2 linked regions of the Rattus norvegicus genome follow. The protein of the gene in region 2 interacts with the protein of the main gene of each other region in a pairwise test. Links are inferred from orthologs where the notes say so. Each region holds a gene or a part of one and is shown on either strand. Other genes may lie near its edges.

What was found.
Region 1: the proteins of Sf3a3 (region 2) and Zfp212 interact in binary tests that used the Homo sapiens proteins (3 or more experiments, as listed by UniProt). The two-hybrid records come from large-scale screens. The link is inferred for Rattus norvegicus from reciprocal best matches to the Homo sapiens genes SF3A3 and ZNF212.

The regions. Positions count from the first base shown.
Region 1 is NC_086022.1:78,257,163-78,261,167, forward strand, and holds part of Zfp212 (zinc finger protein 212), read left to right. Parts: intron 1-3,707; coding exon 3,708-4,005.
Region 2 is NC_086023.1:142,250,994-142,255,621, reverse strand, and holds the start of Sf3a3 (splicing factor 3A subunit 3), read right to left. Parts: upstream 3,216-4,628; 5' UTR 3,153-3,215; coding exon 3,057-3,152; intron 2,781-3,056; coding exon 2,733-2,780; intron 2,434-2,732; coding exon 2,381-2,433; intron 2,280-2,380; coding exon 2,174-2,279; intron 1,138-2,173; coding exon 1,065-1,137; intron 1-1,064. UniProt on the Homo sapiens protein: Component of the 17S U2 SnRNP complex of the spliceosome, a large ribonucleoprotein complex that removes introns from transcribed pre-mRNAs.

The sequences.
Region 1 (4,005 bases), on a different chromosome or scaffold from region 2:
TGAGACCCAGATGCAGTCTATAAAGTGTTTTCTCTAGGTAGATTAGTTTTAGCACAAAAGTGAGGTGAGAGGACCAACACACTCCATTCCTGGGTATTCCACTCTGAGTTATCACCAGCCGACCTCACTAAGAAGCAGCAATAAAGGTCAACCAAAATCTAAAAGTAAACTGGAACTTACAGTCTTGACATTGTAAGATTTATTTAAACTGTTCTTGAACATACTTTGAATATATTTGTATTCTCACACATCTCTTCAGGTGAGGATTCTGTACTGCTAGGCCAGATACATGTCCTGATCATAACAATTAAAAATAAAAAATATTGAGAAAAACCATGTAAATAATATTTGAAATTTATAGTAAATCATAAGCCCATTATTTTGTGCAACAATCCAAAATAAGTAAAAGTAATACTTATGACTCAAAGACAGAAAGTGGGAACTCCTAAGATACGAACAGAGTTGGGAAGCCAACTTTGAGAGCATTTGTTGAACAATCACATTTAATGTTTATGAAATCAAGTGACTGTTTTTTTGAGTCAGAGCTTTACTACATAACTCTGGCTGTCCAGGAATTCAATATGTAGACCAGGCTGGCTTTGAACTCACAGAGATTGTCCTGGCTTTGCCTCCCAAGTGCTAAGATTAAATGCCTGGCTGAATAGAATAGTAATTTGTTGAAGTAATGACAGGTAATTAAACTATTTGTCAGCATTGATGTAGAAGCTAGGAAGAAGAGATCAGAATTCAGAAGTCTTGTGGCCTTTTAAATATACTTTTTATAATTTCTAGGATAATTGCTAAAGACTAAAGAGTCAGTTACAATAAATATAATTGAAGTAAAAGATAAAGACTGCCAGTACAGAAAAATCCGACCTTCTGGCTTATAGCAAATACAGCTAGAAGATGTCTATACATATGGTTAACTATAAAAGGACATGAGAACAATTTGTCAACAATACTAATTAAAAGTAACTAGGCTAAAAAATATATTGTTGCCAGAGATTGAATGCATTTCTTGGAAAAAGATTCAGTTCTCCATCTTGAAATGACATCTTTAAACTAATTTGAGGCTAATTACTTAGCTTTGGGTAGATTTAAAAAATGACAGTCAAAGCTCATTATAGAATATTCAAATATAATGTATTTTATTTAGTAGAAAAAAGTCATGAGTATTATTGCTCACCCATTAGAACCTGTGGAGAGGACAGAGATTTTCTGCCCCATTTGCTGCTGTTGTCCCTAGATACAAGGACTGTCAAGTCTTAAGATGTAGCTAGTATGAACAATAAAATGAGTTTTAATTAGATGAGCTAATCATGATGACTCTGCCTTTAGTCCCAGTATTTGGAAGGCAGAACAGATGAATCTCTGAGTTCAAGGCCTGTCTTTTTTTTTTTAAGATTTATTTATTATATGTAAGTACACTGTAACTGTCTTCAGACACACCAGAAGAGGGCATCAGATCTCATTACAGATGGTTGTGAGCAACCATGTGGTTGGTGGGATTTGAACTCAGGATCTCTACTGGAAGAGCTGTCTAGCCCCCAAAGCCTGTCTGTTCTATATTGTGTGTTCCAGCATAGCCAGAGATGTATAGCAAGACTTTGCCTCAAAAAAGAGAAGGGAAAAATCTTCCCAAAAATAGGAATAGGGTAGTGAGCTGAAGAAAAGCATATGCTCAATGTTATTAATACCATATCCATTTTCTAGTAGCATATATCTATGTATATTGATAAAATATAGATTAAAAGAGAAAGAACTAAGGAAAGGGGCTGGAAAGATGGCTCAGTGGTTTAGGCCCTTCTTGCTCTTGCAGGGGACCCAGGTTGATTCCCAGCTGCGATGTGGTGACTTAAAAACCATCTGTAACTCCAGCTTTGGGATCTGATGCCCTCTTCTGGTCTGCATTGGTACTAGGCACACTATGTTAAAATGTTGAACGTGCTTTGTGTATGGGTCAAAACATTTTATCCTAAAAATGTTATTTCTCAAATTTATCTGTGGAATTTGACACATTTCCAAACGTCTCTGGAGATATTTTTGTGAAACTCATGTTTGTAGGATGTCTGTGGGTCAAAAGTCAAGGTACTACTATAAAATAAAGAGATCATCAGTAACTACTGTACAGCTAAGATTATATTGGTAAAGTGACAGAACAATTAACAAAAAGAAAAAAATGATGGAAACAGGCTGACAGCAAAATTTGGCTTATGGTAGAGAATGATATTACGGATTAGTGGGTAACTGTTGACTACTTTTTTTTTATTTCTTTTTTTTTTTTAATTTCTTTTTTTTTTTTTTTTAATTTCTTTTCTTTTTTTGGAGCTGGGGACCGAAACCAGGGCCTTGCACTTGCTAGGCAAGCACTCTACCACTGAGCTAAATCCCCAACCCCAACTACTTATTTTTATTTATTATTATTGCACTTTCTGAGACAAGGTCTTACTCTATGTAGCTCTGGCTGGCCTGGGACGCACAATATAGACCAGGATGGGCATAAACTCAGAGATCCACCTGTGTTGTGATTAAAGGAATGTGCCAACATGCCTGACCCTGCTTTATTTATTTTGTGGTAATATATGTATGTAGGTGTGAGCCTGCCATCATACTCGTGTGGTCAGATGGCAGGTGGTAGGAGCCAGTTCTCTGCTTCCACCATGTGGGCTTCAGGGATCTTAGGTCCTCAGGTTTGGCCATTAGCTGATGAGCAATCTCACCAACTTAAAATGACTTAAAGCTGTTTTTTACATTTCTTTACTTACTTTGTGTGTATATGTGCATGGATATGTATGTACACATACATTTGGAGGTCAACAAATTGAGGAAAAAGCTTACTTAACTCTGTATGGTGGTATTTTGTCTATTTTTCTAATACTTTCAAAATTACTATAAAATATACATGTCTTCCTTCCCAGAAGTCCCCATCCCCCTTTTTCTTTTGAGACAGGGTTTCTTGTAGCCCACGCTTGGCCTTGAACTTTTGATCCAGCTGCCTCCATTTTGAGTGCTGGGATTATAAGCATGCACCATGGTTCATGGGGTGCTTTAGATAGAAGTCAGGGCTTTGTCCGTGCTAGGTGAGTATGATACCAACAGAGTTGCATACCCAGCCACACATGACATTTTCCGTCTTAGTTAGGGTTTCTATTGCTGTCCATGACCAAACGCAAGTTGGAGAGAAAAGGGTTTATTTGGCTTACACTTCCATGTCACTGTTCATCATTGAATGAAGTCAGGGTAGAATCAAACAGGGGAGAAACCTGGAGACAGGAGCTGGTAAAGAGGCTGTGGAGGGGTGGCTTGTTCCCGTCGTATACTGGCTTGCTCAGCCTGATTTTTTTTTTTTTTTTTTTTTTTTTTTAAGAACCCAGAACCACTAGCCTAGGAATGGCATCACCCACAATGAGCTAAGCCCTCCCCCATCAATCACTATTAAGGAAATGTCCTACAGGCTTGCCTATAACCCAGTCTTATGGAGGCATTTTCTTAATTGAGGCTCCCTCCTTTCCAGTAGCTCTAGCTTGTTTCAAGTTGGCATAAAACTAACCAGCACACTGTCAGAATAAGTACATTTGGGTATGTTGTATGTTTTTGTTTGTTTTAAGAAAGCTAGGTAATTCTGAGTCTTTGACTTGGACTTGTTTTCTTTATTTGATATTTGGAAATGACCATGTCTCACTGGCCTTGTATCCTCAATCCTACAGCACAGGAGGAAAAGGCGCTCCACACCGTTAGCTCCAGCCACACCACCTTCACAGACAACAGAGAAAAGCCAGTACTTCCAGACCACAGAAATCTCACTTTGGACAGTGGTGGCTGCTATTCAAGCTGTGGAGAAGAAGATGGAATCCCAGGCTGCCCGACTGCAGAGCCTGGAGGGACGCGCAGGGTCAGCGGAGAAGAAGCTGGCTGACTTCGAGAAGACAGCTGTGGAGTTCAGCAACCAGCTGGAGGGCAAGTGGGCCGTGCTGGGGACCCTACTGCAGGAGTACGGCCTGCTGC
Region 2 (4,628 bases):
AGAGTTTCAGGATAGCCAGGACTTCAAGTAGAGATCCCATCTTTTTCTTTTTTTCAAGATTTATTTATTTTTATTTTTATGAGTAAACTGTAGCTGTCTTCAAACATACCAGAAAGGCATTGGAGTTCATTACAGATGGTTGTGAGCCACCATGTGATTGCTGGGAATTGAACTCAGGACCTCTGGAAGAGCAATTAGTGCTCTTAACCGCTGAGCCATCTTTCTAGCTCTGAGATTCTCATCTTTAAAAAAGAAAGGAAGAGAGGGTGGAGGAGAGGGGAAGAGAGGAGAGGAGAGAGAAAGGAAACTAGGCAGAGGTGGTGCAAACCTTTAATGCCTTTATCTAGCACTCGGAAGGTATAAGCAGACCATTTCTGAATTGGAAGCCAGCCTGGTTTGTAGAGTGAGTTCCAGGGCTAGAGAGAAACTTTGTCTCAAGATAAACAAAATAATGGGGCTAGAGACATAGCTCAGCGGTTAGGAGCAATGACTGCTCTTCATTAGGACCTGAGATGAATTCTTAGCATCCACATGGCAGTTCACAACTGTCTGTAACTCTGAGATCTGATGCCCTTAAACATACATACATGTAGGCAAAACACCAATGCAGATATAAATAAATGAATAAATAAATATCAACAAAAAAGATATTAACTCACCATACAATTAAAAAAGAAAGTCTGGCCTTTATTTAATCCAGAGAACTGTCTGACTCCTGAGGGCTGAGATTAAATTTATACTCATCACAATCAGCCTTTATTTATGTTTTTAGAGACAGGCTCTTGGGTTCAGCAGTTAGGAACACTGGCTGCTCTTGCAGAGGTCCTGAGTTTGAATCCTAATCCCTACACGATAGCTAGCCATTTGTAACTATAGTAGGAGTAGATCCTTCCCCTGGCTTCTTTAGGCCATCACACACACGCGTGGTATATAGACATACATGCAGGCAAAACAGCCATACAGACAAAATTTAAAAAGAGGTTAAGAAAAAAAACATAGGTCGTAGCTATATAGCTCAGAACGGATTTGGATTCCCTAGAAAGAAACATCAAGCCATTACTTACTTTGTGCCTCTTCACTTGGATTCTCTCGAGCTTTCAGGAGCTCCTCGAATTCCACCGACATTGGCACACAGATCTGGTGGGAGAGAAAAGCTCAGGTGGGTCTGGCAATGTCTCAGGCTTGTAGTACAGGGCTGGACTGCTTTTTTTCACTGATTGGTTAATCTACAAGATTTAGTGTGAAACTATTCATCTACTGGGCTTCTTTTAAATCCAAACATACAGTCTTTACCATCAGTTTATAAAACACTCTTAAAACATCAATTTGTGGAGTTTCCTATTTGGTTGTCCATGTACATCTAGATACTGTATTAAAAAAAAAACCGTTCAACAAATTTGTTCTATTTCTTTAAATCTACCAAACATAAAATACAAATAAAATGTTTGACAGGTTTTTTTTTATATACATATTGTCTCAAATGTCAGGAATTTTTTCTTTAAAAGCCTGAACTATATCTCATCATAAGCACACATATTTACAGTATATACATATGCATATTATACTTGCAAGTCTTTAAGGCTGGGCTTCTAATGCTCGCTTTGACCTTAAGTGTACAGAGGAGCTCACTACTTAGTGTTCTCAGCTTCCCTTGCTTTATAACTGGGCAGACGTCTGATTCCTTGCCACAAATACAGCATCCTAAGGAAGGACTGCCTTGGAGGAGGTAGTCCACAAGAGATATTTTACACGAGTTCTGAAGGTGCACTGAACTCTGGGAATGAGCACAGTACAATTGTGTTGGTAGATTTCAAGCCAGAGCTAGGAGCACATTGTATTGGGTGGGAGAAATTCTTAAGAGAGATAAAAAGGAAAAAGTAAGTTTGGGTAGGGGGAAAGCTACTATGAGGGAGACAAAATTGGAACTAAACCAATAAAGAACTCTGGTGCAAAGGTCACCCGATCTCTCACTGGACAGAAAGAAATAGGCTCTAGTGCTTCCTGTGTTCTCTTACTGCAGAGGAACACCAGGAAGGATGTCGCCTAACTGTGCTCACTGCAGTGAAGTGGCACGTTCTTTCTTGGACAGACATCTATATGGCATGCCACCATTTTCCTCGCATCTTTCCTTTTTTTAAGGATAGGTCTTGGGAAACTACTTTGGGAGCCTCACCTCATTTGGGTGCTTCCGATGAAATTCCTTTATCTGCTTCAGTCTGTTATAGAATTCAGCAAACTCATTGGGTCCTGAAATAGCATTGAGCTCCTCCTTTCGTAATCTGCAAGATATCAGCAAATTCAAAGTGCATAAAGCACAAAGGCCATCATTTCACCATGGCTCCCCTGAAGCACTGTTAGAAGGGATGTGACTGTCACTTACCCATCCTTATCATCATACAAATCCCTCAGGTTCCCACTGACCTCCATGTATCTCTGAAACGCAAACACAAAGCCATCAGAATGGAGCAAATTTGTACAATGGGGCTAGGTAAACAACAAAGGGAGTCTTGGCAAGACCCAAGGAAACCTCACGGGATACAAAGTCTTGAAAGTTCCACCACTTTTACAACACAGCCCGAACCCAGAGTAGTCGCCCACACTTTTGAGAGGCAGAGAGAGGATATCTGACTAAGAACCCAGGGGCAGGAATCACGCTGAGCCTCCAAACCTTCCCTGCCAGCACTTTTCCCGCCCAGCCAGACCCAAAGGGAAGCAGACAGCGGGGCACTCACATCTTGCATGGCCCTAGTGCGGTGATCGGAATTGATCTGGTCCCGGAGCTGCAGAAAGGCAAACGGTAACACATACGTTGTTACTCTGAGTTCAGGAGTTGGAAAGGCCACCCGAAGGATGAGCTTATTGGTTTAGGTCTCAGGGGCTGAAGCAGAAGGGCTGCTGGGCCCTCGGAAGACGTTAAGGAGGCCAGAGCGCCCAGACAGCTTAGGAGGAAGATGAAGATGGGGCGCAGGGAGGGTCTGAGACCAAATAAAACGCCGAGAGCTCCGCTGAGGGCCGAGGCCCTCCTACTGATGCGACCCCGACCACTGTTCACTCACCGTGGACTTCTTAGTGAGCATTTCTTTGGCCATAACATCCATAAGCCGTTCTTTCTCCTCATGATAGCGCCGTTGCTGCTCTAAAATTGTCTCCATTTTCTCTTGGCCGCGGTACTTCAATTCAGACCGCTAACACTGCCGGAAACACTGCCTGCCGCCTTGCACGCCCGTGTCTCTGAGCGCAGTATCCGGCTGCACCAAAGTTCCGCGTGTCCCGGAAGTGGCTTGGGGGACTCAAGAAAAAATGAACACCACAAAGAGAGCAAGTCGATGCTACCGGCGACAGTAGCTACACTGCCCCCTGCTGGCTGGAGGTCTGAAAACGCGATGCTTCAGCGATGAAAGATGTCTCTAGGTTGCCTGCAAGAATCCTGCAGGCTGAGGGTGAGAGACAGCTGGCTTGCCTGAGGCTTGCTGCAGACAGCTGGGCCGGCTGGGACACACTAACATTTGAACCGATAAACTGAAGGATACAGACAGGAAAGGGGACCTGGAAGCTCCAGTTTTCAGTGTGTGACCTCTGGTGATGTTTTCCCCTTGTCTGGACTTTAGTATGTCTGTCAGTAAAATGCAGATGGTGGTGATTTTGTTCTTAACAAAAGTCATACTTACTCATACTAAAACACAACCTTTGTTTATTAGCAGAGGAGTCTTTAAGAAAAATGTAGTACACTCAAGCAATGGTAGGCTTGCTATTTGATACAGGTTGGCTTCTGATTCTCTGTAATTCTTAATTTTTCTGCTTTTCGCAGAAACTTGCTGGAATTACAGGTCTGAGCCACCATACCCGGCCACTGTATGGCTTAGAAAATGAAATCTAGGCTGACTTTCTTTGACAGAGGAGGAAGAGGAGGAGGCAGAGGCAGGAAGATCTCTGAGTTCTAGGCCAGTCTGATCTACATAGTGAGTTCCAGGACAGCCAGGGCGACATAAAGACCCGGTCTCAGGAAATAAACACAAACAAACAAACAAACAAACAAACAAACAAACAAACAAACAGAATAGGGACAAAGCGTGAATTGGTATAGAGTGCCTGTCTAGCATGTATTGGGAAAAACAGCTTTAGAGCAAGGTCGAGTGGCTCACACCCGTGATCCAGACTTAGGGGACTGAGGTAAGAGGAAAATAAGTTCAAGTTCAGCCTGAGCTATGTGATAAGACCCTATCTCAAAACAACATATACACGCATGCACGCACGCACAGATACACGCATGGACACATACGCGTGTGAAATCCAAGGTACAGGTTTCAACATCAACACAAGAAAAGGGACTCTACTACATGCCTACTCTAGGCAGAGAAATGAAAACATTGTCCATATGCTCCTGTTATTCATAATTCACCAAAACTGCATGTAACCCAAGAGTCCATTAATTGGGATTGGAGATATGGCTCGGCAGTTAAGAGCATTCGCTGCTCTTCCGGAGGATCTGAATCCAGTTCCCAGCACGCGAGTCAGGTGGCTAACAACCACTTGCATCTCCAGGTCCAAGGAATGACTGGGCACCCTGGTACACATGCCATCCACTCTTACATACATACACACCTAATTCATGGGTGAATGGATAAACG